Callithrix jacchus: one gene and its partner. The protein of the gene in region 1 purifies or fractionates together with the protein of each later gene. This does not show direct contact. Links are inferred from orthologs where the notes say so. Each region holds a gene or a part of one and is shown on either strand. Other genes may lie near its edges.

Region 1 (16,257 bases):
TCAAAGCTGTCCTGGGCCACATGCAACCCACTGGCCGCTGGTTGAACAAGCTTGATTTAAAAGAATTAAATACATACAAATATATCTAACCAAGGCAAAAGACCTATACACTGAAAACTACAAAACACTGCTGAAAGAAATTAAAGATCTAAATAAATGGAAAGACGTCCTGTGGTAATGCGTAAGATTTAACGTTGTCAAGACCCCAGTACTACCCAAAGCAATCTATTTATTCAGCACAATCCTGAATCAAAAGTCCAACAGCCTTTTCTAAAGAAATGAAAAAACCTGAAATTCACAAGAATTACAAGAGGCCCCCAAAATAATCTTGGAAAAAAAAAACAAAGGAGGACTCACACTTCCTGACTTTGAAATTTATAAAACTATTTTATAAAACTATAAATTGCCCAGCAATTACAATAGTATGTTATGGCATAAAGACAAAAACACAGACCAATGAAGCATTCTGTTTAGAGTACAGAATCCAGGAAAAAAAACCATATAAATGGTCCACTAATTTTCAACAAGTCTACTAAGACCATTCAATGGGGGAAAAGGACAGTCTTTTTCTAACAAATGTGCTGGCAAAACTGGATATCCACATACAAAATAAAGTTGGATTCTTACCTTATATCACATATAAAAATCAACTGAAAATGGATCAAAGGCCTAAACTTGAGAATTGAAACTATAAAAACTAATAGTTTATTTTTTAATTTATTTTTTAACTTTAGAGATGAGACTTTGCAATGTTGCCCAGGCTGGAGTGCAGTGGCTATTAGAGGTGCAATCACAGCACACAGCACACTACAGCCCTGAACTCCTGGGCTTAAGCAATCCTCCTCCCTCAGCCTCCTGAATAGCTAGGACTACTGGTGTTTGCTACCATGCCCAGCCCAAATTGTTTTTCTTTTTCCCGGTATAACCATACCAAGTATTTCTTAATATTGCAAAGATACTCCTATTACTCTAATGCAGGAAAAATGCACAAAAGGTGAGATGCATATGAAACTTCAGAAATCATTTCATTTCACTTCCTAGAAAGCAACAATATTCCTACATTGCCATATTTCTAGATGCAAGGCTTATGGACAAATAAGTAATTATTAAAAGCAGGTAATATTAGCAACTATATTAGAAATTAAAATCACTTAATGATTCAGTCATGACCATTGAATGACCCTCCCCTGACCCCCCAGCCAACTAGTGGCCTGACAGATTAAGGAGAAATGATTTTTTTTCTGGTTGTTAATATTACTTTATTGTCTACTATTCCTTTACATACAATGTCTGTCATTCAATCAAAAAATAAAAAAGAAACATGCAAAGAAGCAAGAAAATGTGGAACTCATTGTTATGAGGAAGCCTTCAAGAGAACAGTCACACGAACAGAATATATGAATCTTTAGGTAGGGATTTTAAAATAACTACAAAAAGTACGTTAAATCACCTAGTGCAAAAGGTAGATCACGTATACAAAGTGATAAAGAATTTCAGTATGGAGAGAGTATATGCATATGGATGTGGATGTGTATGAAAGTGCTAGAAATTTTTAAAAATAAGAAATCAGTATGAGAGATAAATAACTTCTTTTTTTGAGATGGAGTTTTGCTCTTATTGCCCAGGCTAGAGTGCAATGATACAATCTCAGCTTACTGTAACCTCTGCCTCCTGGGTTCAAGCAATTCTCCTGCCTCAGCCTCCCAAGTAGCTGAGATTACAGGCACCCACCACCATGCCCAGCTAATTTTTTGTATTTTTGGTAGAGATGGGGTTTCACCATCTTGGCTAGGCTAGTCTCAAACTCCTGGCCTCAAGTGATCCACCCACCTAAGCCTCCCAAAGTGCTGGGATTACAGGTGTGAGCCGCCATGTCAGATCAAGAATTCTTTCAAAGGACTTATCAGCAGATTAGCATAATAAAGAATCAGTGAAGTTAAAGTTGGATTAATAGAAATTATCCAAACTATACTATAAAGGGCTGGGAGAAGGAGTGTGTGGAAAGAGTCATGTGAAACCTAAGAGATGATATGAAAAGGTTTAATACTTAATATACATGTAACTGGAGTACCAGAAGAGAAAGAGAGAAAATGATACAGAAATAATGTTAACTATATGACGGTTGACAGTTTGCTTGATCTAGACACCTCTCCTTGCTGGCTTGATGAAGTGGTCCTTTTGGGAAAGACAAGGAACTGTGGGTTGCCTCTAGGAGATGAGGCAGCTTTCCAGCTGGCAGCCAGAAAGCAGCTAAGACCCTCAGTCCTACAGCCACAATGAAAAGAATTCTGCCTCAGTAATTCAACTGCAATTAAACAAAATGAAACATGAGTAACAGATTCTTCCCCAGTCAAGCCTCCAGGTGAAAACACAACCCAGCAGACACCTAGAATGCTGCCTTGTAAGCTCCTACACAGAAGAATCAGTTAGGCCATGCCCAGACTTCTGACCCTTAGAAACAGTGAAATCAATGTGTTATGCAGCAATCCCACTTTTAATACATCCTTGACCATTTGAGATGTGACTGAATATCACTATGGGTCAGTTAAGGGCCAAGGTACTGAAGGTCGAATTTTTGTTGTTGTTGTTGTTGTTGTTTTTAAAGACAGTCTTGCTCTATTGGCCAGGCTGGAGGACAGCTCACTGCAATCTCTGCCTCCCAGGTTCAAGCAATTCTTGCCTCAAACTCCCGAGTAGCTAGGATTACAAATATATACCACCATGTCCCGCTAATTTTTGTATTTTTAGTAGAGACAGGGTCTCGCCATCTTTGCCAGGCTGGTCTCGAACTCTTGACTTCACTGCACCTGACTAGCTCTTCCAAGTTTTGACAATTTTTTAAAAAATAAGAGCTTCGTTTTTCTTTAAAATGATCCATGCCCAAATCCAGAACCATGTTGACAGTGGGTTACAGAGTTTGCACGGCACTGTCCAAGTTGTTACACTGTTTTTAAAAAAATCTTATCTGCATGTATTGTTAAATCAGGTATCATGAGATCTACTTATCAGAACCATGAAGATAAATTCTTCAGAGCTGTTTCTACTGATATTTATTTTCCTCAAAACTTGGCGGACTGTGGGGGAAAGAGTTCTGAAATTTTTTGTCTTCGATATTAGCTCCAATTCTTATAAGTATATACAGGCCCTATAACTGCAGCAGAAAAATGCATGATGGAAAATTTCCATAACCCATGCACTGAGACCTAAAAAATCATCCTTACTGGGTAGAATTTAGTATAATGCAATTAAGTGCCAACTGATATTTCTCACCATGGGAGGTCAGGAACTGCTGCAAAGAAAAATAAACAAATCCTTCTGCATTATTTACATTCTAATGTTTGGTAGGGGAAAATCAGGAGAAATTAGTTCTGAGATTACAATATGGACTTTTTAAAAGATTATCAAATAATTTTTAAATAAAAATTAAAGTTGTACCTCCATTAATATAAAATACATAGGCATGAAGTTATTAATTTTAGCATTATGTATAATTGCTAAATACTGCCAACTACCGAAATAGCCTAATGTAGGATAAAGTTAGTTGAATAAACTGATACATCCAAGTAACAGAGTAATCTGCAGCTGGAAAAAAAATGACTGAAGATGTCTATGAACTGGCAGTATAGCTATTTCCAGGATACAGTAAGTGAAAAAACAAGGTACAGAATAAAGGTATGCTATATTTTTTGTGGATAACCAAAGACGGTAATTAAAAAGAAAAAAAAGAGGCCAGGCACAGTGACTTAAGCCTGTAATCCCAACATTTTGGGAGGTAGAGGCAGGAGGATCACTTGAGGCCAGGAGTTCAAGACCAGCCTGTTGAATATAGAAAAACCCCGGTCTCCACAAAAAATAAAACATTAGCTGGGAGGCTGAGGTGGGAGGAATATTTGAGCCCAGGAGTTCAAGGCTACAATGAGCTATGATAATACCACTGCACTACAGCTTGGATGACAGACAAACACTTTGTGTTCCCCCTCAACAAAAGAGAGAGAGAGAAAGAGAAAAAACCACATCTACTTACTTTAAAAAAACACGAAGAAAAAAAGAATGGATAAACAAGATGCCAGTGATACTGATTATCCACATGGAGTACAGAACAACAGGAGGCAATGAAATACTAGGAGCTGGGGATTGAAGGGAGAGCTAATTTGGGTAAACTGCAAAAAATAAATTCACTATACATCCTTAGTCTAGGGGAAAAAAACAACTATTAGCAAATCCTAAACTCTTTTTAATAGGTTTCTTTTTCACAGAGATATGGATGAAGCAACTGTGAAGCCATTTTGTGTGTATTGTAGATACTGTGCGAATTAATAAATGCACTGATGTTGTTGGAAGTGAGGTAAACAGACATAGAGAAGAGGGAAAACCAAGGAGAACCCTACAGAGTTGGGACTGGAATTAAGAGTTATCGGTATGAACCATGGTAAATTATGAAACTCAAATATAGACGGTAAATTACATAACAGTATCCAGGGTTAAATTTCCTCAATGGTTTCAGACGCACACATACATAATACAGGGGAAAGAAGAAGGAAGGGAAGAAGCATGAGGAAACAATAAAAGCAAATGTGGCAAAGTGTTAAAAATTGGTGAATTCAGGGAAAAAGTATAAGTGAACTCAGGGGATTTCCGTATAATTCATGCAACTATCTGTAATTTTAAAGTTATTTCAAAATAGTTTAAAAAAGAAAGAGAGGCTGGGCATTGTGGCTCACATCTGTAATCCCAGCACTTGGGAGGCTGAGGCGAGCAGATCACTTGAGGCCAGGAGTTTGAAATCAGCCTGGCCAACATGGTCACAGAGTTTGAAATTAGCCAGGCATAGTGGTGGGTGTCTGTAATCGCACCTACTCAGGAGGCTGAGGCACAAGAATCACTTGAGCCTGGGAGGAGGAGGTTGCAGTGAGCCAAGACAGAGCCAGTGCACACCAGCCTGGGCAACAGAGTGAAAAATAAAAATAAATAAATAAATAATAATAAAATTAAATGTCCCAACAAAAAATAAAGAGAGCGAAGAGACATATGTATTGAAATTTCTGAAAGCATATACTCAAATGTAAAGCTGTCAATCTATAAGGAGGTGAAGGAGAGGAGGAAAAGGAGCCTCTCTAAAATATCCTTAAGTAAGACTGAATTCCATCCAGTAACTCTCATTAAATATATATCCCTAAATTAGGGGTACTTAACCTGGGACTAAGGGTAGGTAGATTAAATTCTATCCATCAAGAGGTCTGTGGATAGAATTCACTGAGTCTCTGAAGGGAATGGGGAAAAAATACATTTTAATTTCAGAAACTGATTTTTTTTTTCTTCAATTATGAATGCAGGCAACAAATAGTTTTTGGCAATACCTTTGACTTTATCTCGAAGAGAAATCACACATATTTTCACTTCACATTAGCTGAGGTTCTCAAAATAGTGTATATACCATTCAGCACTTTCATAATACAGTAACTACACTGGCAGCTAAATTGTATTTAAAGTAATATGATTTTTTAAAAACCATGCATCACAAATGTGCTTTTAAAATATTTTTATAACTGTATTCCAAAATCACTGTTTTCTTTGTAATCCTATGCACTTAAAATTGTTATTCTGGGTCGGGTGCAGTGGCTCACACCTGTAATCTCAGCACTTTGGGAGGAAGAGGCGGGCAGATCACTTGAGGTCAGAAATTCCAGACCAGCCAAAAATAAAAAATCAGCCAGGCATGGTGGCACAAGCCTGTAGTCCCAGCTATTTGTGAGTCTGAGGCATGAGAATCGTCTGAACCCAGGAGGCGGAGGTTGCAGCGAGCCATGAGCACACTACTGCACTCCAGCCTGGGCAACAGAGTGAGACTGTCTCAAAACAAACAAACAAAGAATTATTCTAAAAAGCAGACCACGGGCTTCAAACTGACCAATAGTTCCAAGGCACAAAAGTTAGAAATCTCTGCTTGCTCAGAGGTACAGATCCCTCACTTGTTTACAATTATGTCATAATGAGGAGAATTAAGTTTACAGTTTTTTGCTTTGCCATAAAGCAAATTATAAAAAGACACACATTATTGATAATTTTCAATCTAATCTTATTATTTAATTTCTAAATAATTTCCCCTAACCCCAGCACCAAAGTTATTCAAAATATCTGCAACCTCACAAAGAGCATCCAATAAAAAATATAACACAGATGTAAAAGATACAGGCACACAGCAACTATAACAACGAAGCAAGACTGTGAAACATCTTATCAAGAAACTCAAGTGTTTGTACATCTTTAAAAACTTGGTTAAAAACAAAGTATTTACCATCTCTCTTTTGGAAAATTTTTTAAAATTTCTTTAATGATTGGCTGGTAACAGGCATCCCTTTCTGTTTTCCCAGTTTCACTCCAGTCTCTCACAAACTGTTTCAATGTGGATTTTAACTTATCCATGTCAAATGTAGATGCTGGCATAATCTTTCCATTCCCCTGTTTAAAAAACAGACATCAATTAGCTTCTGAGAGAGTAATCTATTTTTGTTATGGTTAAATAGACATGCTACTAAGGGGCTATATAGGTGGTTTAGTGGATAACTCACTAGCCTCTCACCTCAACCGGGGTTCAAGTGCAGCTTGAGATCCTAAATGAAAAGAGTTTGGTGGTCTCACTGCTACCCTCATAAGATTAAGGTCCATTAATCATAAAACCACCATATAATTAAGCAGTCTTTACTCAGGAAAGGACCAAACTGAGCTGCTATGGAGACCGAACATCCTCTCTAAGAGAGGGAAGAAAGTCCCTCCAGGTCATTGATGGGGCAGCATGGAGAGGCTCACACTGGAGTGGCCCAACTGTATCCATCCTGTGGATACAAAAAGAGGACTTCAGTTTCCATGTACTGCCAGGCCCTTGAGATTTATAAGTGAAAATAATTTAATACAATAAAAGATGAACAGCAATAGATATAAGACACTGAAAAAATATGAGTTAAGCAAGGGAAATTAATTTCTAGCTAGTAAAGTTGATTATAAAAATTTAAGTTGCTGGCCGGGCATGGTGACTCACACCTGTAATACCAGCACTTTGGGAGGCTGAGGCAGTTGCATCACGAGGTCAGGCGTTCAAGACCAGCCTGGCCAACATAGTGAAACCCTATCTCTACTAAAAATACAAAAACTTAGCTGGGCGTGGTGGCGGACACCTGTAATCCCAGCTATTCGGGAGGCTGAGGCAGGAGAAGCGCCTGAACCTGGGAGGCAGAGGTTGCAGTGAGCCAATATTGTGCCACTGCACTCCAGCCTGGGTGACAGAACAAGACTCCATCTCAAAAAAAAAAAAAAATTTAAGTCACTAGTCCTATATTCCATAACAGAACACTATGTTAAAATGCATTAAAATCCTAACAATTATGTTAGTATTTTACAAAGGAAAACCAAATACAGTCTCTGGCATACTGTTCTATTAAGCCTGATTAAGTAACCAGCAAATCCAGTTTCTGGCATACTATTCTATCAAGCCTGATCAAATAACTGAACATTCAAGTGAAAACTTCTTGAGCAGAGCAAATAGCCTGTGCCAGATTATAAAAATGAAATCCAAATCAAAATACAGAGGTTGACCCTAAAATAAACACAAATAGAACAAACTTTCACATACATCTTCTCCATATTCTTTATTTTCAAACATATGTATGCAATCATTCACAATGGTCAGTAGTATTTCTTGATTATGATCAATGCATTTCCGGATCTTGTCCAAGTGCAGAAGAAACTGAGGAAGTAGTTTCTGTTGGTTAGCTGGAAGTGATCGAAACTGTCTTTCTGTTCGGTTCACTCGCTCATGCATACTGGTGCTAAAACATAAAAGGTGTTTTTTAAATTTGCAAAAGAATTCTCACCAGAGGCCAATCTTACTTTAAGTTTGTCTTTCTGTACAATTATTATGCTGGATACTGTACTATCATTTACAGTGTCTTGGCTTTTTGAAAGTTGTATGTTTTTACTTTATTTCAAATCCTTCTTCAAGCAACCAAAATACATATGGTTTATCACTGGTAAAAGTAAACATATGCAACAATTAGAAGGGGGAAAAGAAGATTAATGTACAATTAATTAATTTTTGTGTTTTAAACTTAAACTTTTCAGCAAAATGCTTTAAATCATTCCTTGTTTTTTTTTTGTTTTTTTTTTTTGAGACAGAGTCTTGCTCTGTTGCCCAGGCTAGAGTGCAATGGCGTGATCTTGGTTCACTGTAACTTCTGCCTCCGAGGCTCAACCGATTCTCTTGCCTCAGCCTCCCAAGCAGCTGGAATTACAGGCAACTACCACCATGCCTGGCTAATTTTTGTATTTTTAGCAGAGATGGGGTTTCACCATGTTGGCCAGGCTGGTCTCGACCTCCTGACCTCACAATCCGCCCACCTTGGCCTCCCAAAGTGCTGGGACTACAGGCGTGAGCCACCGCACCAGGTCAGATTTTTACATCTTTAAGTAGCAAAATAAATACTGCTGTGAAATTATAATACACACAAAATGTATCCTGAAATTAACTAAAAATAACCTACTTGAATTTTTAAAAATATCATAGATCTTATACACTACAAATTACTAAGGAAATAAAACACTGAAATTCTAGTGTTTTATTTAACAATATCCACAATTTGCATTAGAAAAATGACCCCAAAGGCCATTCTGGGGACTGCTTATTCATAAAACAAGAAAACGGAACATTATTTTTACTTATATTTATTATTACTATTATTATTGTTTGAGATGGAGTTTTGCTCTTGTTGCCCAGGTTGGAATGCAGTGGCACAGTCTCAGCTCACTGTACCCTCTGCTTCCCAGGCTGAAGCCATCCTCCCAACTCAGCCTCCCAAGTAGCTGGGACTACAAACATGTGCCACCACAGTCGGCTAATATTTTTGTATTTTTTTATAGAGACCAGTTTCACCATGTTGCCCAGGCTGGTCTCCAATTCCTGGACTCAAGCAATGTGCCTGCCCTGGCCGCCCAAAGTGCTGGGATTGCAGACATGAGCCACTGTGCCTGGCCACAAGAATATAATCTTTTTTTTTTTTTAAGATGGAATCTCACTCTGTCGCCCAGGTCGGAGTGCAGTGGCACGATCCCGGCTCACTCCAATCTCTACCTCCTAGGTTCAAGCGATTCTTCTGCATCAGCCTCCCAAGTAACTGGGACTACAGGTGCTTGCCACCATGCCCAGCTAATTTTTGTATTTATAGTAGAGATGGTGGCAGGGCGACGGGTTGTCATCAAGACCATGTTGGCCAGAATGATTTTGTTCTCTTGACCTCATGATCCACCCACCTCAGCTTCCCAAAGTGCTGGGATTACAGGCCTGAGCCACCACACCCAGCCAAAACATCATTTTTAAAAGTTAAATATACACTAACAGTATATCATTTTTATATCAACAAGATGGCTAAAATTTAAAAGCCTGACTATATCAAATGGTGAAAATATGGTATAATTAGGACATTTATACACTAATGGTAAGTGCATAAATTAGTGCAACCACTTTGGAAAGAACTTAGAGCACTGCCTAGCAAAATTTAGCATGGTACTTGCCTTATGACCTAGCAATTATACTCCTAGAAACTACTGCAAATGGGCCACACGAAACATGAACAATCTTTGTCACAGTACTGTTAGAAATAACAAACAGGCCAGTACAGGGGATCATGCCTGTAATCTCAGCACTTTGGGAAGCCAAGGCAGGCGGATCACTTGAGGCCAGGAGCTCAAAACCAGCCTGGTCAACATAGTGAAACCCTGTGTCTACTAAAAATACAAAAAATTAGTTGGGCATGGTGGCGCGTGCCTGTAATCCCAGCTACTCAGGAGGCTGAGGCAGAATTGCCTGAACCCGGGAGGCGGAGGTTGTGGTGAGCCGAGATTGCGCCATTGCACTCCAGCCTGGGTAACAAGAGCCAAACTCCATCTCAAAAAAAAAAAGAGTGAGGACTGAACATTGATTTTTTTTTTTTTCTCTTCTCCAAGTTCCCAAGAGGCCTAGGGCGTCACGCCTTACAAACTATAAAATCTTGTTAGACAGGTTTTTATTAACCCTATATAATGACTTACTTTCCAACTTGACTCTGGTATAGCATCATATGACACGTTGCAGACTCATAAGGAAATCAAAATGTTTTACCTCAAAATATATGTCTTTGACATTTTGAAATGGCGGCCATGGGGCCAACAGATTTCAATGGTCCCACAAAGCCGTGTTTCTTAGGGGAAATGTGCATCTGTCAAGAATCTCCATTAATGTAACCAGGCCTTCCCTCTCTACGCCTTTCCTGGATCTAGGAAAGATTAACTGATAGCCTGAAAACATTAAAGTCTAAAAAGAGACATTTAGAATCTCTTCCCTCCGAGGGCTGCTACCTGGGAGGCTACATTTACTTAACAAGAACCTTGGCCTCCATAAGCCCCTTATCTACCTCAGGCATTCCTTTCTACTTAAAATAGCTTACCTCTATCAACCAAGTGCCAACTAAAGAATCCCTGAAACCCACCTATGACTTATAACCCCCTTCTTCAAGATGTCCTACCTTTTGGGTGAGATCACTATATACCTTCCATGTAATTCCTTTCTCTCTAAAATGTATAAAACCTAGCTGGGCACGGTGGCTCACGCTTGGAATCCTAGCACTTTGGGAGGCTGAGGTGGGTGGATCACCTGAGGTCAGGAGTTCAAGACCAGCCTGGCCATCATGGTGAAACCGTATCTTTAAAAAAAAAAAAAAAAATGTATAAAATCAAATTGTAACCCAACCACCTGGGGCACACTTTCTCAGGACCATTTGACGCTGTGTAACCACAGGCTGTGGTCACTATCACAGTGACCCAGAATCAACCTCTTAATATATTTTGGCAGAAATTGGTTACTCCCATTACCATCTGGAAAAAACTCAGGAACATATACATTTTTTGGGAAAAAAAACTGGGGAAGAATTCATAAAGTACAATTGCATTTTATAGAAAACAAAATATATTATTTAGGGATTGATTATATGTGGAAAAACGACAAAGAAAGTAAAGATGTAAAAATTCAGGATAATGATTCTGAGGGTGAAAGAGACAGGATGTTTTTAAAAAAACTAGGCGGTCAATTGATGTGTTCACTATATCATTCTCTACATTTTATATGTATGTGTATATGTTTATATGTTCTTTGGTATTAATTCAATATTAAATGAAAATATTTTTCTTTTTCTTTTTTTTTTTGAGACGGAGTTTCGCTGTTGTTACCCAGACTGGAGTGCAATGGCAGGATCTTGGCTCACCGCAACCTCTGCCTTCTGGGTTCAAGCAATTCTCCTGCCTCAGCCTCCCGAGTAGGTGGGACTACAGGCGCGAATCACCATGCCCAGCTAATTTTTGTATTTTTAGTAGAGACGGGGTTTTACCTCGTTGACCAGGATGGTCTTGATCTCTTGACCTCGTGATCCCAAAGTGCTAGGATTATAGGCATGAGCCACCGCGCCCAGTCGAAAATATTTTTCATTTTCAGTTTCATTTTCATTTTCAATACCTTTGTCATCTGCTTTCTTAAATCTTTATTCATACAAACAATTTTCTCATTTTTACCTTATGCCAAATTATTCCAACTGCTGAACAGTAATGAACTTCAGAAGAAGCTCCTGACAAACAAGCAAAAACCTCACTAGTCACGACTTTACAAGCTTGTGTGTGGTGGCCTGGTGGGGGTGGCCCTTAGGGGTATGGTGAAGAGATCAAGTTGACAGAAGTTCCACTGACTTCTCCCTCTGGAGAGAGTATAATAATGAGCTTTGAAGTCAGAAAGATCAGGGATGAAATCCAGGTTATGACACCTATTTGCCATAGGGCATCAGGCAAATTACTTCCTTTTTGCAACTTTATCATATACAGAAGCAAAATAAGAATGAACAACCCTAATGATGATGATCACGGAATCTACCATTTATTGAGATTTAATAAATGGCAAGGACTAAACCAAGTCAGTTGATACTGATTATTCTGAAACATCTCCAGAATGAGGTAGGTAGCATTACGTTCCTCTGCCTATTAGACAGGGTTTCATTGGAAACAACATACTCAAAAGATTTAGCCCAATAGCTGAAAACACAGCAAGCACTCCAGAAAACAGTAGGTATATCTCATTTATATTATTAAAGTGTTCAAAGCAGAAAATTAAAAATACACAGGGAAAGAAAGGCTACTAATTTCTCTTCTAGAGAGAACCACTTCTAGCCTTTTGGCACTGTTTTGTTTAATACAAAGTTGCCGTGGTTCATGCCTGTAATCCCAGCGTTTTGGGAGGCTAAGGTGAGAGGCCTATTTGAGGCCAGGCGTTCAAAACCAGCCTGGGCAATAGAGCAAAACCCTCATCTCTACAAAAAAATTTAAAAAAAAAAAAAACAATTAGCCAGGCATGGTGGTGTATGCCTGTAGCCTCACCTACTCGGGAGGCTTGCTTGAGCCCAGAAGGTCAAGGCTGCAGTGAGTCATGATTGTGTCACTGCACTGCAAGCTACAGCAAGACCCTGTCTCCAAAACAGAGAAGAAAAAAAAAAAAAGACAAAGTCATCTAGCATCTTACTTTAATTCAAGCTGAATATTGACAAATTATAAGTGTATATGTTTGTTGGGGTACAAAGTGGATGTTCATCATTCCATCTTTCGTAACCAATAGTTACTTAGCTATTTCCAAACTACTGGGCATTTAGACACTCACTTGTTTTTATGATGAACTTTTTATGTTCAAAATCTGTCTATATTTTAGAAAAACAATTAGCATAAATTCCTGAAATTAGAATTACCAGGTAAGAAGGGGAATAAGGTTTTTTGTTTGTTTTTTGAGATGAAGTCTCATTGTCACCTAGGCTGGAGTATAATGGCACAATCTCGGCTTACCACAACCTCTGCCTCCCAGCTTCAAGTGATTATCCTGGCTGAGCCTCCCAAGTAACTGGGACTATAGGTGCCTGCCACCATGCCTGGCTAATTTTTATATTTTTAGTAGAGATGGGGTTTCACCATGTTGGCCAGGCTGGTCTCAAACTCCTGACCTGAAGTGATCTGCCATCCTCGGCCTCCCAAAGCATTAGGATTACAGGCATGAGCCCCCACCCCCTGGTGTACTCCCAAGAATAAGTATTTTTCAGGCTCTTGATATAAAATGATGTGCAGAAAGACTCCATCAATTTATATTCCTAACAGCAGAGTATATTCACAACAAGTGAGGCAAATAGCAGAGCTTTAACAGTTCACCATCAACAGATTGAATAGCCTCACAGAACTTTCTTCCTCGTGTTCACTTCTGAGCACTGGGGTTGCCCCACAACTTCTCTCTCACCACACCTCAAAACTCATATCCAAACTGAACTTTGCACATGCCCCACAAAAACCTGCACTCCTTCCTTCATGCACCCAAGTTAGAAAATAAGGAGTCAACCTAAATGCCTCTTCTCTTAGTCCCACAATCAATAAGCCCAGGATACTTTTCAATTCTATTTCCTAACTCCTCCCCTGCCCTCCCGGCTCCACCTCTAATCAGATGAATTCTTCTAAAACACAGTGTCATCTTGGTCATTATTCAGTATCTCTGTATTTCAGCATATGTAAAAAGCAATAAATGTTCAGTTACTTTCCCACAATGCCATTGGTTTTCCATGGAGACTACTTATTACCAAGTAGTATCAAGGTTGCAAGGGTGAGTTGAGATGAGTTATAGATTGGTTAGAAGAGCTGTCAATTCCTGATACAGAAGCTAAGTAACTACGCAGAGCACGATGGGATCCTTAAACCCCTGGTTACTTAATGGTGTGTAAAGCTGCCATAACATCCATCCATCAGTGACTCTTAAAATAGATGGGATCTGGCCTGGCGAAGTGGCTCACGCCTGTAATCCCAGCACTTTGGGAGGCCGAGGCGGGTGGATTGCCTGAGGTCAGGAATTCAAGACCAGCCTGGATGACAAGGTGAAACCCCATCTCTACTAGTGATTACAAACAGCCTAAGGTCCCTTCCACTAAAGGGCAGAGTTGAATAGTTGTAACAAGAGACCACTTGGCCTTCAGAGCCTAAAACATTTACTGCCCGGCCCTTTTAAGAAACTGCCAAATCTGCTTTGAAGGAATATTTGACAAAAATCAGACCTCCTTGGTTCTGAACTAAGTCAGCATCAGGAGGCCACATCCTCTTGCTGATGAGGGAAGAAAGTAAACTTAGTAACCATTTTTCCTCAACAGTATCTCTACCTCCTACTCTCTCTGAGGTCAGCAGTGACTTCAACTCTGATTTAGTCACCTGTCATCAGGGTGAACTAAAGGCCATAGTCACAGGCCCATTCCTCTGCACTTAGTTGAACTACTCTAGGAAATCCAAATTGAAAAAAACATAACTTGTCAGAAATAAAGTCTGTCTTGATTCATTTTAAATCTTTATTAAACACCTAACATTAAATTTGTATTACTAGTATAACTCCTCATTAATCCACAGGAAAATTTTAGGTAATTATTTTGGATTTTAGGTCAGATTCTGCCACAGCTTGATTGTGTAAGCCTTAGGAAGTTGCTTACTGCTTTGTGTATATCCACATCTTCACCTGTAAAAATGAGCTCTAAATCTCAATATTAAAAAATCTCACCTTGTTATTTCTTTTTCTTTTCTTTTTTTTTTTTTTTTGAGACAAGAGTCTTGCTCTGTTGCCCAGGCTGGAGAGCAGTGGCACGATGTCAGCTCACTGCAACCTCAGCCTCCCAAGTAGCTGGGATTACAGGCATGTGCCAGCAAGCCCGGCTAACTTTTGCAGTTTTAGCAGAGACGGGGTTTCACCATATTGGCCAGGCTGGTATGGAACTCCTGACCTCAGGCAATCCGCCCTCCTCAGCCTCGCAAAGTGCTGGGATTACAAGTGTGAGCAACCACGCCCATCCTAAAATAATCTCACCCTGTTATCTCTAAAAGTAAGAAGTTTCTGAAAAGTCTTTCAATTTTTCAACTCTAATATTTTCTATGTACTGAGGTGTTTCACTCATAGTAAGACTGGGTTATAAAATGAATGGGTTATAAGGCCGGGTGCGGTGGCTCACACCTATAATTCCAGCACTTTGGGAGGCTGAGGCGGGTGGATCACAAGGCCAAGAGATCGAGACCATCCTGCTCAACAAGGTGAAACCCCTTCTCTACTAAAAATACAAAAATTAGCAGGGCATGGTGGTGCACACCTGTAGTCCCAGCTACTCAGGAGGCTGAGGCAGGAGAATAGCTTGAACCCAGGAGGCGGAGGTTGCGGTGAGCTGAGATCGTGCCATTGCACTCCAGTCTCGGTAACAACAGCGAAACTCCATCTCAAAAAAACAAAACAAAACAAAAAACTAATGGGTTATAAAACTAACATTTTTGCTATTCAATACAAACGAGCTATACTCATTTTTACCTTAATCAGAATGTCATCTAAGCAAAATCTGTAGGAACCACAAAACTGGAACCCATTAGAAAGATAAAATATTAATGAAAAGACAGTCCTTGCTTTATGACCATTTATCTAAGTCTCCTACATATTAACTAAAAGGCATTTAGCAGTAAAACCGTACCCTGCAAAATCTAGAAATACACTTGACCCTTGAACGATGTTCCGGTTAGGGGCACCAATCCCCTGTGCAGTAGAAAACACACATGTAACTTTGATTCTCCAAAAACTTAACTACTAATAGCCTACTTTACTGACTGAAAGCCTTACCAATAACATAAACAATTGACAGATATTTTGTATGTTAATATATTATGTACTATATTCTTACAATAAAGCTGGAGAAAACAAAGTCGCAAGAAAGAGAAAATACATTTACAGTACTCTACTGCACTGTATTTATCAATACTGTAAGTTCACATTATTGGATTACAAGATGAATCTTCCGTCTGAAATGGGGTTGCGGGGCAACCTTGGCTGCAGAGCAACCTTGGCTGCAGACCTCTATCTACGATACATATCAAACAAATCAACTTTTTCTGTCTTGACTTTTCTCTTCTTCTTGGGAGCACTTGCAGCATCACCAGTAGCACTTCATATAGGACCCATGGTGTTATTTAAGGTTTATGGTATTGCATTAAATTTGATGAAATCTGCTTACTGCAGTATGCAATTTACCTGACAGACAAAAGCAGAGTGATTATGTTAAGCAGATATTGGCAACATTTGAGCTCACTGCAATAGCAACAGGAGGTGGCTACAAAATTATTACAGTAGTACAGTATCCACTACATAATTTT
Region 2 (15,687 bases), on another chromosome or scaffold:
GTTCACTGAGAGAGAGAGCATAGAAGCTCTGTGCCCCTTCTCACATGCCTTGCCCTACGCATCTCTGCTACCTAACTATTCATCTGTATCCTTCGTAACATCCTTTATAATAAATGGGTAAATGGAAGTAAAGTGTTTCCCTGCATTCTGTGAGCTACTGTAGCAAATTAATGGAACCTGAGGAGAAGGTAGCAGGAACCCACAATTTATAGCTCGTCGGTCAGAAGTATAGATGACAACCTACTACTTACTGTTGGCGTTTGAGGTGGGGGCAGTCTTGTGGGAGTGAGCCCTAAATCTATGTATGGGATCTATGGGATTTGATGCTATCGCCAGGTAGACAGTTTTGGAAATGAATTGATTTAGAGGAGATCCAGCTGATGTTGGCTGGGGAATTGCTTGGTTGGTGTATGTGTGTATTTCTCTACACATTTTGGTGACCTCAGGTGAAGTGTTCAATGTTGCCTTGAGTGTGAGAGTAGCAAAAACACTTTGTTTCGTTTTTCTATCTTTAAAACGTCTAAAAATCAATTACTGTAATAGACCATATCAGTAGAATAAAAAGCAAAAACCACATAATCATCTCAATAGATGCAGAAAAAGCATTTGCCCCAAATCCAACTCCTTTTCATGATAAAAGAGCATCTACAAAAAACTCACAGCTAATAATATACTTAGTGGTGACAGGCTGGATGCTTTCCTCCTAAAATCAGGAATAAGAGAAGAATTTCTAATCTCACTACCTCTATTCAACATTGTTCTGGAAGCTCCATCGATGGCAATTAGGCAAGACAATGAAATAAAATATATGCAGATTGGAAAGGAAGAACTAAAACTTTCTTGGCAGATGACATGGTCATGTACATAGAAAATCCTAAGGAATCCACTAAAAAACAACCTGCTAGGACCAATAAATGAGTTCAGCATGGTTCCAGTACATCAGATAAATATTAGGAAAAAATCTATTTTATTTCTATATACTGTTAATGTATAATCTGGAAATGAAATTAAGAAAATTATTCTATTTGCAACAGTATCAAGGACAAAATATTAGGAATAAGTTTAAGAAAGGAAGTGCAATACTTATTCTCTAAATACTATAAAACATTGTCAAAAGAAGTAAAACATTTAGCTGCGCATGGTGACTCATGCCTGTAATCCCAGCACTTTGGGAGGCTGAGGTGGGCGTATCACTTCAGGCTAGGAGTTCAAGACCAGCTTGGCCAAAAAGGCAAAATGCCATCTCTACTAAAAATACAAAAATTAGCCGGGCTTGATGGCAGGTGCCTGCAATCCTAGCTACTCAGGAGGCTGAGGCAGGAGAATCACTTGAACCTGGGAGGTGGAGGTTGCAGTGAGCCAAGATCGTGCCACTGCACTCTGATCTGGGTGACAGAGCGACACTCTGGCTCAAAAAAATAATTAGCCAGGTATGGCATTGTGCGCCTGTAGTCCCAGCTCCTCAGGAGGCTGAGGTAGGAAGATCACTTGAGCCCAAGAGTTTGAGGCTTCAGTGAACTATGATCTGGCCACTGCACTCTAACCTGAGCGACAGAGCGAGATCCTGTCTCTCTCTATATATATATGTATATACAGATATATATATATATAAGTTAAACAGGCTGGGTGCAGTGATTTATGCCTGTAATCCCAGCACTTTGAGAGGCTGAGGTGGGCGGATCACAAGGTCAGTAGATCGAGACCATCCTGGCCAACATGGTGAAACCCCATCTCTACTAAAAATACAAAAAATAGCTGGGTGTGGTGGCGTATGCCTGTAGTCCCAGCTTCTTGGGAGGCTGAGGCAGGAGAATTGCTTGAACTCAGGAAGTGGAGGTTGCAGTGCGCTGATATCACACCACTGCACTCCAGCCTGGGTGACAGAGTGAGACTCCATCTCAAAAAAAAAAAGTTAAACATAGACTTGCCATATGACCCAACAACTCCACTCCTAAGTATATACCCAAAGGAACTGAAAACAGACACTTAAACAAATACATGTGTACCCATAGTCAGAGCTAAAAGGTAAATACACAAATATCCATCAACAGATGATTGCATAATAAGCAAATTGTATTATATGCATACATCGGAACATTTGTTTAGCCATAGAAAGGAAGTACTGATTTATACTATGATGTGGATGAACCTTAAAAACTATGCTAAATGAAAGAAGCCAGACATGAAAGGTTGCATATTGCAATTCTATTTATATGAAAAATCTAACATAGGCCGGGCGCAGTGGCTTACGCCTGTAATCCCAGCACTTTGAGAGGCCGAGACAGGAGGATCATGAGATCAGGTGTTCAAGACCAGCCTGGCCAACATGGTGAAACCCCATCTCTACTAAAAATTTAAAAATTACAGCTGCTCAGGAGGCTGAGGCAGGAGAATTGCCTGAACCCAGGAGGCGGAGGTTGTGGTGAGCCGAGATCGCGGCATTGCACTCCAGCCTGGGTAACAAGAGCGAAACTCTTGTCTCAAAAAAAAATTTTTTTTTAAATAATTAGCTGGGTGTGGTGGTGCACGCCTGTAATCCTAGCTACTTAGGAGGCTGAGGCAGGAGAATTGCTTGAACACGGGAGGCTGAGGTTGCAGTGAGCTGAGATCGGGCCATTACACCCCACCCTGGGTGACAGAGCAAGACTCTGTCTCAGGGGAAAAAAAAAAGAAATAAATATCTAACACAGTTAAATCCACAGATAATGCACATTGGTGGTTACCAGGGATTGGGGGGTTGGCAGAGGGGAGGAGGGAATGAGGAGCATTTGCTTAACGGGTGTGGGGTTTTCTTCTGGGGTGATGAAAACAACGTTTTGAAACTATATAGAGGTGGTAGTTGCACAATATTGCGAATGTATTAAATACCACTAAACTGTTTGCTTTAAAGAAAGGTTCAACAGCCAGGCGTGGTAGTTCACATCTGTAATCCCAGCAATTTGAGAGGCTGAGACACGAGGATTGCTTGAGCCCAGGAGTTCCAGAGCAGCCTAGGCAACATAGGGAGACCCCCATCTCTACCAAAGGAAAAAAAATCACCCCAGTGTGATGGCCAACGCCTGTAGTTCCAGCTACTCAGGGGGCTGAGGTGGGAGGATTGCATAAACCCAGGAGGCGGAGGCTGCAGTGAGCTGAGATCGCGTCACTGCACTCCAGCCTGGGTGACAGAGTGAGACTTCATCTCAAAAAAAAAAAGTGATTACCTGAGGGTGTGATCCTGAGGGTGTGATCTGGAGGGGATCCATAAGGGTCTTCTTCAGTGTTTTCAGTTTTGTACTTCTTGACCTGCAGTGTGGTTATGCAAGTGTTCTTCTGTAATTACTGGTTCTCTTACAAAGCTGTGTTTTATGCACTTTCCTGTCTCAGGCCTTTGTACCGGGTGTTCTCTGTCTGGAATGCTCCTCCACCCAATATCTGTTTCATGTAGGTCTCTGCCCAAATGTCACCTTATCAGAAGAAGCCCTCCTTGACTACCGTATATAAAATAGCAATTCCCTAGATCCCTGCACTCTTAGGCCTTTACCTTGCTTTATCACTGTTCCCAGCACTCATGGCAATCTGGTATACATATATATAAACCTGTCACTATCTCTCATGCAAATTCTTTTTTTTTTTTTTTTTTTTTGAGATGAGTTCTCACTCTGTCACCCAGGCTGGAGTGCAGATCACATCTCACTACAACCTCAAACTCCCAGGCTGAAGGGATCCTCCTGCCTAAACCTCCTGAGTAGCTGGGACTACAGGCACATGCCACCCTCCCTTGCTAAGTTTTTTATTTTTTATGGAGATGGGGTCTCACTTTGTTGTCCAGGCTGGTCTCCAACTCCTGGCCTCAAGTGATCCTCCTGCCTCGGCCTCCTAAAGTGCTAGGATTATAAGTGTGAGCTACTGTGTTTACTTCATGTACGTATGAGAGCAGGGACTTGTGTGCTTTTGTCATGGCTGTATCTCCAGTGTTTACTGCCTGTCATGTAGTGGGTGATCAAGACAAGTTTGTTCACAACCACCAGTCTAGTCTAGTGTACCATCATCTTACCTGGACCAGTGCACCACCCCCATAACTGACCTCCCTGTTTCATGTCTGGCTGCCTTCAACCCATTCCCCACTCTTCAGAATTATCTTTTGAAATTCAAATCTGATCATCTCATTTTCCTTCTTAACTCCCCCTCAACTTTTTGTGTGTGTGTGTGTGAGACAGAATTTTGCTCTGTGTCCCAGGCTGGAATGCAGTGGTGCAATCTCAGCTCACTGCAACCTACACCTCTCAGGTTCAAGGGATTTTCCTGCCTCAGCCTCCCGAGTACCTGGGATTAAAGGCGCCCACCACCACACCCACCTAATTTTTTGTATTTTTACTAGAGACGGGGTTTCACCATGTTGGCCAGGCAGGTCTTGAACTCCTGACCTCAGGTGATCTGCCCACCTCGGCCTCCGAAAGTGTTGGGATTACAGGTGTGAGCCACCACGCCCGGCCGTTAAAACGCTTTGATGGCGCATTTTTGCTCTTCAGATGAAGTCCAAAGTCTTTAACTTGACTTGCAAGTTCTCTGCTCTTTGGCCTTAACTACCTTGTCTCTTTTCCCCAGCCACCTTAAACTGCTTTGAGTTTTTAGTTGGAGGTAGTCTCTCACATTGGGGCCTTAGTATATATTTGTTCCTCTACTTGAGATACTCTTTCTCCAACTCACTTCTTGAGTCTCAGTTTGAGGCTCATTTCCTAGGGGAGACGTAAGAGCCCTGACTTCTCAAACTAGGTGAGCTCCTTTACAGTCCAGCTGCAACCTTGTCTCTGCTGGAGTGCTTGCTTCCCTCCACCTATTTAGTTTCTTTTAAATTGTAAGAATAACTATTTGGTTCCCACCTATGAAATGAAGTTGCACCATTTAATTAAAGGTTATGAAAATATTCCTCACATATAGAAAATGTAATCATAAGCTTGTAAACATGAAAGTACTTTGAGTTCACTATTGATTTAGGTGCTTTTATGGAGTTATGGTCCCTTTTAAGAATCTGCTGAATGCTTTGGACCCCAGAATAATGCTCATTTGCAAGTACTTTGTATACTTTTTCAAAATTTACAGACAAGGCAGGGTGCAGTGACTCATGTCTGTAATCCCAGCACTTTGAGAGGCCAAGGCACACAGATCACTTGAGGCCAGGATTTCCAGACCAGCCTGGCCCATTTAATGAAACCCTGTCCCTACTAAAAATACAAAAAATTAGCTGAGCATGGTGGTGCATGCCTGGTAGTAATTCCAACTACTCGGGAGGCTGAGGCAGGAGGATGGTTTGAACCTGGGAGGCAGAGGTTGCAGTGAGCCAAAATCTCACCACTGCACTTGAGCCTGGGTGACAAAGTGAGACCCTGTCTCAAAACCAAAAAAAAAAAAAAAAAGATTCACAGACAAGTATTATTCAAAAATGTCATGTGGAATAGTACACAAATGCCATCTTTCTCTTGCCCTCTCAACTCTTCAAGACTGATTTATGCTCTTAATTCTGTCACTTTTCTGTTCTACCTCCTAGAATTTAGTCATCAGCAGCATTCTTTCACCTTTTATCATCTGTGTTTTCTCCTGGACCTTTTCTCTCAGCTTATGTAAGAGATTATAACTCAAAGCATATCTTTTTCCATAAAGCTTTATTCTACCTAAAAAAAATTTTTTTTTTTTTTTTTTTTGGTGCTGTGACTCAGATTCTACTTTTGAATAACTTTTTTTATTTTTATTTTTTAGAGATGGGAGTCTCGCTATGTTGCCCAGGCTGGTCTCGAACTCCTGAGCTCAAGTGATCTTCTAATCTTGGCCTCCTGAAGTCCTGGGATTACAGGCATGAGACACTGTGCCCAAACCTGAATAACTTTTTTAGTATAAATTCTCAGAAATGGTTAAAAAAAAATGAACAATTTTTCTGGTTCTTTTGCTACTCATTGCCATATTTCTTTTTTGTTTTGTTTTTGAGACAGGGTCTGTCACCCAGGTTGGAGTATAGTAGTACAGTCACAGCTCACTGCAGCCTTAATCTTCTGGGCTCAAGGGATCCTTCACCTCAGCTTCCTGAGTAGCTGGGACTACAGGTGCACATCACCACACCCAGCTTTTTTGCTTGTTTTTTTTTTTTTTTTTTTTTTTTTGTAGAGACGGAGGTTTCCCTGTTGTCCAGGCTGGTCTCCAACTCCTGGCTGGCCTCAAGTGATCCTCCCATCTCGGCCTCCAAATATGCTGGGATTACAGGCGTGAGCCACTGTGACTCACCTCCAGGACACTTTTCATTTCTTTCTTTTTCGTCTGAAGCTTTGTGTAGGACATGACACTTTTCAAAATGCTTTCCTAGGCCAGGTATGTGGCTCATGCCTGTAATCCTAGTGAGTTAGGAAGCTGAGGTGGGAGGACTGCTTGAAGCCAGGAGTTTGAGACTGGCTTGGGCGACATAGGGAGACCCTATTTGTAATTAAAAAAACAAAACAAAACAGGCAGGTCACGGTGGCTCACACCTGTAATCCCAGCACTTTGGGAGGCCAAGGCAGACAGATCACATGAGGTCAGGAGTTCGAGACCAGCTTGGGAGGCAGAGGTTACAGTGAGCTGAGATCACACCACTGCACTCCAGCCTGGGTGATACAGTGAGACTCTGTCTCAGAAACAAACAGTCATTATTTAATGTCCAGCTCCATGAGGGTATGGGCTGTGTGTCTTGTTCACTGCTAACATCCCCCATACCAAGCACAGTGCCTGATAAAGAGTAGCTACTCAAAGAATATCTTTAGGCTGGGTGTGATGGCTCACACATGTAATGCCAGCACTTTGGGAGGCCGAGGAGGGCAGATCACGAATTCAGGAGTTCAAGACCAGCCTGACCAATATGGTGAAACCCCATCTCTACTAAAAATACAAAAATTAGCCAAGCATGGTGGTGCACACCTGTAGTCCAAGCCACTTGGGAGGCTGAGGCAGGAGAATCACTTTAACCCGGAAGGCAGAGGTTGCAGTAAGCCAAGATCCCGTCAATGCACTTTAGCCTGGGCGACAGAGCAAGTCTCAGTCTCAAAAAAAAAAAAAACTTTTAAATGGATTAATGAAGGTGAATAAAAACTATTAACCCAGAATTTATTCTTGCATCTGTTTTTAGGATTAGCCCAAATTCGAATCATATCAATAAAAATCATTTGGCCTAGCTTTGCGCAGTGGTAGTATCGTAGCCAATGAGGTTTATCCGAGGCGCGATTATTGCTAATTGAAAACTTTTCCCAATACCCCACCATGATGATTTGAAATATAGTCAGCGTTGGCAATTTTTGACAGTCTCTACGGAGACTGAAAAAAAAAATCATTTGGCCTAACTGGCCTCCCTGCCTCTTGTCTTCCATCTCCCTATGATCCAACCTATAGCCCAAGACAGTAACACTATAAAAACAAACAAACAAACAAGAAAAACCCAAGTCTGATTGTGTTCTCTTCCCAAATCTCTATCTCTCCCACTGCCTACAGAATATAGTCAATGTTCCTCAACTTAAATTCAAGGCTTTGGCTCCAATCTCTCTCTCTCTTTTTTTTTTTTGAGACGGAGTCTCACTCTGCCGCTGCCCAGGCTGGAGTGCAGTGGCACAATCTCAGCTGACTGCAACCTCCCAGGTTCAAGCGATTCTCCTGCCTCAGCCTCCCGTGTATCTGGGACTACAGGCCACCATGACACCATGGTGGCACTAGCCGGGCAAGTGCCAACATGCCCGGCTAAGTTTTGTATTTTCAGTAGAGATGAGGTTTTACCTTATCGGTCAGGCTGGTCTAGGACTCCTGATCTCGTGATCTGCCCACCTCAGCCTCCCAAAGTGCTGGGATTACAGGCATGAGCCACCGCACCCTGCCCCCAATCTCTCTTTGTAAACCTCCCTAGGCTTATTTATTAAGTGCTTATCATATGCCAAGCACTAGGCTAGTCACTGAGTTCATAAACCAGTTGGAAAGACAGGTACACTGACTAATTTTAATAAGGCATGATCAGTGCTATTATAGAGTCTGTGAGAACACAGATAGTTTCAGGTGATGATAAAATATTATGTTTTTGTCCCCCTGCAGGTTCACGAGTTCAGTCTACAACAGCTATGTCCGATATGGTCATTAGCTACATTTCAAGTGGTCAACAGCCACATGAGGCTAGTGTCTGTCTATCACACTGGATAGCAGAGCACAGATCACTTTTATCATCCATAGAAGGGGGGTTAACTATTGCTGCTTCCAAGACAGCAAGGAACATTTTCCATACGTGAAGTCTGTGGTACTAGCTACCAATCGCCCAAACCCAACCCCTCTCCCTCACACCTTGGCTCTGATATATTTTGTAGTACAGGCTCCTAAGAGAAAGAATGCATGAAAGTACCTGGTAAACATTACGTGATACAGAAATGTGATATAATAAACAGGCTCAGAGTTCTTGCTTTCATCATAGCTTTGGCTACTTCGAGCAAATTCTAGCTCTTTTCTCAAACTACTCCCATCTCTATAATTTATGCCAAAGTGTTCTAGGGCTAAAAATCCCGATTATACCTACCTTGAAGCTTTTAATCCAGGACCCTACTTCACCACCCGCCTTCTGTCACTTTCTCTAAAAGGACACGAATTAAGACTTCCAAAAGAACAAAATATTTATTTTTTAAATTTAAGAATTATGGGAAGCCTAAGTAATGGGAATTGGATCCTCATCGGGGTCTTCTGGGAAGTTGGAAGCACCACCCTCTCCTGTAGCACGATGCTTCTCTAGTTTAGCAATCAATTCTTTCGCTGGATTGAAGACGCCGTAGGTCTGCTGGTCACAGACAAAGCAGCGCGGGGTGGTACGGAAATGCTGCAGTGCACATCTCTCGCAGAAATAATGCCTGCACTTGGTGACAACTGGGTTTTGGAAGCTCTGGCGACAGATGAAACATTTGAATGGTATTTCCTCATCATCGCTTCCCACTTCATAGTTTTCATCCTCATAGACACCATAGCGACCCTCATCAAGCTCACGTTCGATCTGCCACCCATGCTTGTAATCTGAACGGTCATGGAGGAATTTGCAGCTGTCTCCGAAGCCGCAGAAGCCAGTCTCTTTGTAGTCCTTACAGATGTCGGGCTGGTAATCCCAGCGCACGGTGGCACGTAGATGCTCGGGCGCTCGGATGGGGCCCTTCCTCACCATCCCGGAAGAGGCATTGCCCATAGACGTATCCTTGGGCTTCATGTATTTCTGATAATTGTTGATTCCCCGATAGATCTTGTCATCCTCCTTGCCCCTCAGCTCCTCCTGGATCTTCTGGCTGCGCTCAAAGATGGCTTGTGCATCGCGCTCTTTCTCTGTGTCCAGCTCATAGACGGCTGTTGCCCCCATATCCTCTGGTCCCACGGGTTTCGCCGAGCGGGTGGATTTATAAACCACGCCGAGACTCTCGGGCTCATTTTCCACCTCCTCCTCGCTGCTCAAGTTGCCGTAAGCCGCCTTCTGTCTACCACTGTCACGGGTCTTCTGTATCATTGGATTGTGGGTCGTCCGCTTCTTTTCCGGTCGAATCACAGTGCAGCCTTCGTCGCTACTGCTGCTGCTTTCTCCAGGCTCTGGGTCGCAGGCCGGGCGCTTTCTGCGTCCAGCAGCCCCTTTCCGCCCAGGCTTTTTGAAAAGGAAGGTGCACACCTGATCCGCCGTTTTTCCTGGAGAAAGCTGCTCGGCCATTTTAGAGTCCCGAGCTCCGAAACGGCCGTGGCTGCCTGGGTAGCACTTGGCCTCCGCGCGTCACTCCACGTTGCGCGCTCCGCCGCTAGTCAAAGCAAAAGACTGTGGCGGAAGAAGACTGCGAGAACGCGAACGCTAGCCTCTCTTGAGCCCTGGAGGATTCCGTCGCTTCCTCCGGAGCCGTACGTGGCACCGCCCCGCTCGCTGGCGGCCGCGGGGCTTACTGGGAAGAGAGCCGGAGATCCGTCACCTTTCAAGGACTCAGAAGTAGGGTTTTGGTCTAGGTAACCGGGCAGAGATGTGGTTCGAGATACTCCCCGGACTCGCCGCCATGGGCGTGTGCTTGCTTATTCCAGGACTGTCTACTGCGTACATCCACAAGTTCACTAACGGCGGCAAGGTAAGGGGGCTTGAGGGCGCGGGGGCCGACTCCACGGGCTGATTTCCGAAAAGGGTGGGGGGCAGGGAGGCATCAGCTTGCGGACCCTCTCTCCGAGGTCGGCCTTCTCCTTTCTTAGGGTTGCCTAGAAGCTGAGGCTTGCGAAACGAAGGTTGGTAGAAAACACATCCTGCTCTAGTGAAAACCAGCGTTTTAGGGTGGATCAGAGTGGGCCTTAGGGCAGAGTAGCGACTCGGGGCCCGGAAAGGTAGATTAGAAGAGGTGGCTTAAGTCTGTAATCCAGCACTTTGCGAGGCCGAGGCGGGCGGATTACCTGAAGTCGGGAGATCAAGACCAGCCTGACCAACATGGTGAAACCCCGTCTCTACTAAAAATACAAAATCAGCCGGGTGTGGTGGCGCATGCCTGTAATCCTAGTTATTTGGGAGGCTGAGGCAGGAGAATTGCTTGAACCCGGGAGGTGGAGGTGGAGGTGAGCCGAGATCGCACCATTGCACTCCAGCCTGGGCAACAGTCACGAAACTCGTTTCGAAAAAAAAAAACCAGAGGTTCTCCTGCCTCAGCCTCCCGAGTAGCTGGGACTACAGGCGGGTGCCACCACGCCCGGCTAATTTTTATTTTTGTTTGTATTTTTAGTAGAGACGGGGTTTCATCATGTTGGCGAGGCTGGTCTCGAACTCCTGACCTCAGGTGATCCACCCATCATGACCTCCCAAAGTGCTGGGATTACAGATGTGAGCTCCTGGCCACCCATAACTTTTTTATTCTCCACTTTTTGTTGCAAGCCTTTAATAATTTACTGCAAGATCTTATTTTATTTTTATTATTTTATCTTTTTGTAGAGATGGGGTTTCTCCATGTTGGTCAGGCTGGTCTTGAACTCCTGACATCAGGGGATCTGCCTGCCTTGGCCTCCCAAAGTGCTGGGATTACAGGCAGGAGCTACCGTGCCCGGCCAAGATCTAGTTTTTTACATTGGGATTCATTTTCCCTCTTCTAGCCCTTCACATTGTCTCTAGTATAGAGTATAAATTTATTTACTTTCTGGTTTTGTGATTGTCCTCCTTCACCTGAGTTTCTTAGTGTCCCAAAAGGCAAGAACTAGACATTTCTTTAAAAAAAAAAATTCATGTTGGTTAAGATAGCGTAAGAAGTCTTGGTCACCAACTTAATTCTAAAGTTTAGTGGTCTGATTTTATTTAGGAGATTGTAGTCTTGTATTATTAATTTTTCTAGAATGTCTCCTTTAAAAATCGAAATACCTATCAATTGGGTCACTCACTTTTATAAACTGCAATAACAATTGTCTCTTATTTGAAGGAAAAAAGGATTGCTCATGTTTTGTATCCATGGAATTTGATGGAAAGAGATAGGCGCATCTCTGGAGTTGATCTTTACTATAAGTCAAAGGTAAGATGCCACTCTGATGCCATCCTTCTGCCAGGGTTGAGGTGGGTTCTGGTAATACCTTGCCAAGGGTCATACATTTTCTTATCTACTAGTGAGGTTGGCATCTTTTTACATATTTAATCTTTTATATATATATATTTTTAGTCTTTCTTACTGTCATATATTTCTTACTCTGTGGATTGTTGCCTATATCCTTTGCCTGTTCTATTGTTTGTCTTTTTCTTTTTGATCTATAGTTCTTTATATATTCTAGACTTTAATTTTTTGTCTATTTTATATTTGACATTTTCCCCAGTCTGCTGTTTGTCTTTTTCACTGTATGATGTGTTTTATCAGGTAGTTTTAAATTTTGATATTCAATTGATCATGTTTTGTTCTGAATTTTGGGTTGTTGTTTTTTTTTTTTGAGATGGAGTTTCGCTGTTGTTACCCAGACTGGAGTGCAATGGCAGGATCTCAGCTCACCGCAACCTCCGCCTTCTGGGTTCAAGCAATTCTCCTGCCTCAGCCTCCCGAGTAGCTGGGACTACAGGCGCACACCACCATGCCCAGCTAATTTTTGTATTTTTAGTAGAGACGGGGTTTCACCTTGTTGACCAGGATGGTCTCGATCTCTTGACCTCGTGAACCACCCGCCTCGGCCTCCCAAAGTGCTGGGATTATAGGCGTGAGCCACCGCGCCCGGCCTTGGATTTTGGGTTTTTATGTCTCCCATACAAAGGCCTTTTCTATCCAAAATTATAAAAATACTTTGAAAAAATAAAATAGAGACAGTCTTGCTGTGTTGCCCAGGCTGGCCTCAAACTCATAGGCTTAAGTGATCTTCTTGCCTCAGCCTTTGGAGGAGTTGGGACTGCAGGTGTGCCACTATACCTGGCTCATAAAAATACTTTAAAAGTTTTCTCCTAATATTGTTTCTTTTTTCTTTTTTTAAACATTTAGTTATTTGGTCCACCTACAGGTCATTTATATAATGTGAAGGAAGGATTAACTTTACTTTTTTACAAGAGGTAGCCAGTTATCACAGTTATGCATTTATAGAATGGTTTAGTAGTCCTAGCTACTCGGAAGGCTGAGACAGGAGGACAGCTTGAACCCAGGGGTTTGGTGCTGCAGTGACCTGGGATCGCACCACTGCACTCCAGCCTGGGTGAGAGAATGACAGCCTGTCTCAAAAAACAAACAACAAAAAACCTACCACGAAACACCCAATTCATCTTTATTTGTAATACCATTCTAGTAAACTAAATCTCCATGTACACATGGGCCTGTTTCACAGAGGTGCTTTTCTGTACTCTATAGGTCTGTCTATTCCTGCAACAATACCTCATTTAAATAATTACTATAATTGTATATACATTGCCAGTTTTGTAGGTCAGAAATGGCCAAGCAGTAGCATTTTCATAAGGCTCAACCTAATAGTACGTTTTTTGGGTTTTTTTTGTTTGTTTGTTTTGGGTTTTGTTTTGTTTTGTTTTGTTTTGTTTTGAGACATGGTCTCACTCTGTCACCCAGGCTGGAGTGCAGTGGTACACTCTTGGCTCACTGCAACCTCTGCCTCCCGGGTTCAAACAATTCTTCTGCCTCAGTCTCCTGAGTAGCTAGGATTACAGGCACACACCACCATGCCCAGCTAAATTTTTTTTTCTATATTTTGGTAGAGATGGAGTTTCACCATGTTGGCCAAGCTGGTCTCTTAACTCCTGACCTCAAGTGAGCCACCTGCCTTGGCCTCCCGAAGTGTTAGGATTATGGGTGTGAGCCCCTGCGCCTGGCCCTAATAGTATATTTTCATATTTTGTAGGAGTAGTTCATTATCATAATTCTTTTAAAAATGTTTACTTTTTAATATTTTCTCCTTGCTTATTTATTCCTCACAGCAAACCTAAGTAAATAGTATTTCCATTTTATAGACAAGGGTCAGAGTGATTAAATAATATTATAGGGACTCAACCTGGGTGATATACCTCTCAGTGGAGGGGTAGTTGAAAATCTAATCTAATGAACATGATAATAGATAATCATATCTGGAGCCATATTTTCAAGAATAGCTATCAGAATCACCTGGCATGTGAGACAGAATTAGGATTACTAAGAGACAGCTCCAAGGAAGTTGCAGTTTTAATTTCTCTTAAGGCAGTTCTTCATGTAATAGTAAACCAAATACCTGGACTATGTTATTTAATACTTAGAAGAAGTGTCACCAATGATTAATCATTTAACTTATAGCTTCTGAATTATTTGGTTGACAACTTAGTAAGATCCAGTAGGTATTTTGTATAGTGTAGTGCTTGTCGGAGAAGGGTTCCCTGGATTTGAATTCTGGCTCTGCTAATTCCTTATGGACTTAAGCAGGTGACTTTTAACCTCTCTGAGCCTCCATCTCCTCATTTGTAAAAAAGTGGAATGAGGATAATAGTATCTGTTGGCTGTTATTTTTTAAAACAGATTTTACCTTCTTGTCCTCTGACTCACAGAGGTGCTTTGTAAAAGGATCCACGTGGAGGCTGGGCACGGTGGCTCACACCTGTAATCCTAGCACTTTGTGAGGCTGAGGCTGGTGGATCACCTGAGGTCAGGAGTTCAAGACCAGTCTGGCCAACATGGCAAAACCCCGTCTCTACTAAAAATACAAAAATTAGCTGGGTGTGGTGGTGCATGCCTGTGATCCCAGCTACTCGAGGGGCTGAGGAAAGAGAATCACTTGAACCTGAGAAGTGGAGGTTGCAGTGAGCCGAGATCGTGCCACTGCACCCCAGCCTGCACAATGGGAGCGATTCCATCTCAAAAAAAAAAAAAAAAGGATCCAGGTGGTAGAGTTGCTTGACTTTAGTTCTGATTCGGGGTAGGGGAAGATTTCTGTTTTCCTGTAAAGCAATATGTTTGCTGCTGTCAGAAAATGAAAACTAGACATCATTACAGGTTATTCTTTAGTGATTATAAAATTTAATCCAATGTATTATTGCAGTTAAAGAAATGTAACAGTGCCATTTGGTGACATGAAATAAAAGTATATCACATGTCTTTGTTAGGAACAGACTTCTCACATTCTCCTTTTAAACTGTTTTTCAGGGTTTGGAGAACATTGATTAAAGAAGCATTTTCCTGATTGATGAAAAAATAACTCAGTTATGGTCATCTACCCCTGCTAGAAGATTATACAGTATGTTATGTAGCATGCAGTGTGTTATGTAGTGCTTAATAAAAATAAAGTGAAAAAAAATCAAAGGCATTTCTTTTTTAAAATCATACTACACAAAATGAAGCAATCTACCCAGTGAAGTCTTTATCACTTAAAAAAAACTAGAAGGCCTGTGAGGCTTGTATAATTACAGACATAATGTACATCAAGCACCTGTCTCTGTGCCTAGCATCTAATACTTCAAAAATTGTAGTTGCTACCATTGTAATAGATACTATATTTAACTTTATTTATTTACTTTTTTTTTTTTTGAGATGGAGTTTCGCTCTTGTTACCCAGGCTGGAGTGCAATGGCGCAGTCTCGGCTCACCGCAACCTCCTCCTCCTGGGTTCAGGCAATTCTCCTGCCTCAGCCTCCCGAGTAGCTGGGATTACAGGCACGCGCCACCATGCCCAGCTAATTTTTTGTATTTTTAGTAGAGACGGGGTTTCATCATGTTGACCAGGATGGTCTCGATCTGTTGACCTCATGATCCACCCGCCTCGGCCTCCCAAAGTGCTGGGATTACAGGCTTGAGCCACCGTGCCCAGCCTGTTTATATTACTTTTCATAGAGTGTTGCCCAGGCTGGAGTGCAGGGGCATGATCTTAGCTCACTGCAACCTGTACCTCCTGGGTTCAAGTGATTCTCCTACCTCAGCCTCCCGAGTAGCTGGGATTACAGGTGCACACCACTGTGCCCAGTTAATTTTTGTATTTTTTAGTAGAGACAGGGTTTTACCATGTTGGCCAGGCTGGTCTTGAATTCCTGACCTCAAATGATCCACCTGCCTTGGCATCCCAAAGTGCTGGGATCACAGACATAAGCCATTGTGCTCAGCTGACACTATTAACTTTTACAGTTTCTTCAGAGATAACTAGAAAATACAGAAAAAGTAGTAGTTTTTTTTTCTAGTTTCTTTTCTGAGTGGATCCTATAATGTTTAAAATTCCAGTTGGTCAGGTTTGAGCTGGGAAGGGTTTAAAAAA

Evidence for each region.
Region 2: the proteins of CARNMT1 (region 1) and RNF113A purify together in Homo sapiens (affinity purification with mass spectrometry; 3 studies listed by BioGRID and IntAct, counting the BioPlex papers as one, with this or other methods). This does not show direct contact. The link is inferred for Callithrix jacchus from reciprocal best matches to the Homo sapiens genes CARNMT1 and RNF113A.

The regions. Positions count from the first base shown.
Region 1 is NC_133502.1:89,836,900-89,853,156, reverse strand, and holds part of CARNMT1 (carnosine N-methyltransferase), read right to left. Parts: exon of another isoform or gene 15,213-16,257; intron 7,824-15,212; coding exon 7,628-7,823; intron 6,460-7,627; coding exon 6,296-6,459; intron 1-6,295.
Region 2 is NC_133524.1:115,843,617-115,859,303, forward strand, and holds RNF113A (E3 ubiquitin-protein ligase RNF113A), read right to left. Parts: upstream 9,808-15,687; 5' UTR 9,707-9,807; coding exon 8,675-9,706; 3' UTR 8,625-8,674; downstream 1-8,624. Other genes in the region: NDUFA1 (NADH dehydrogenase [ubiquinone] 1 alpha subcomplex subunit 1), read left to right, coding at 10,005-10,106, 11,427-11,516, 14,589-14,609. UniProt on the Homo sapiens protein: Required for pre-mRNA splicing as component of the spliceosome. As a component of the minor spliceosome, involved in the splicing of U12-type introns in pre-mRNAs. E3 ubiquitin-protein ligase that catalyzes the transfer of ubiquitin onto target proteins.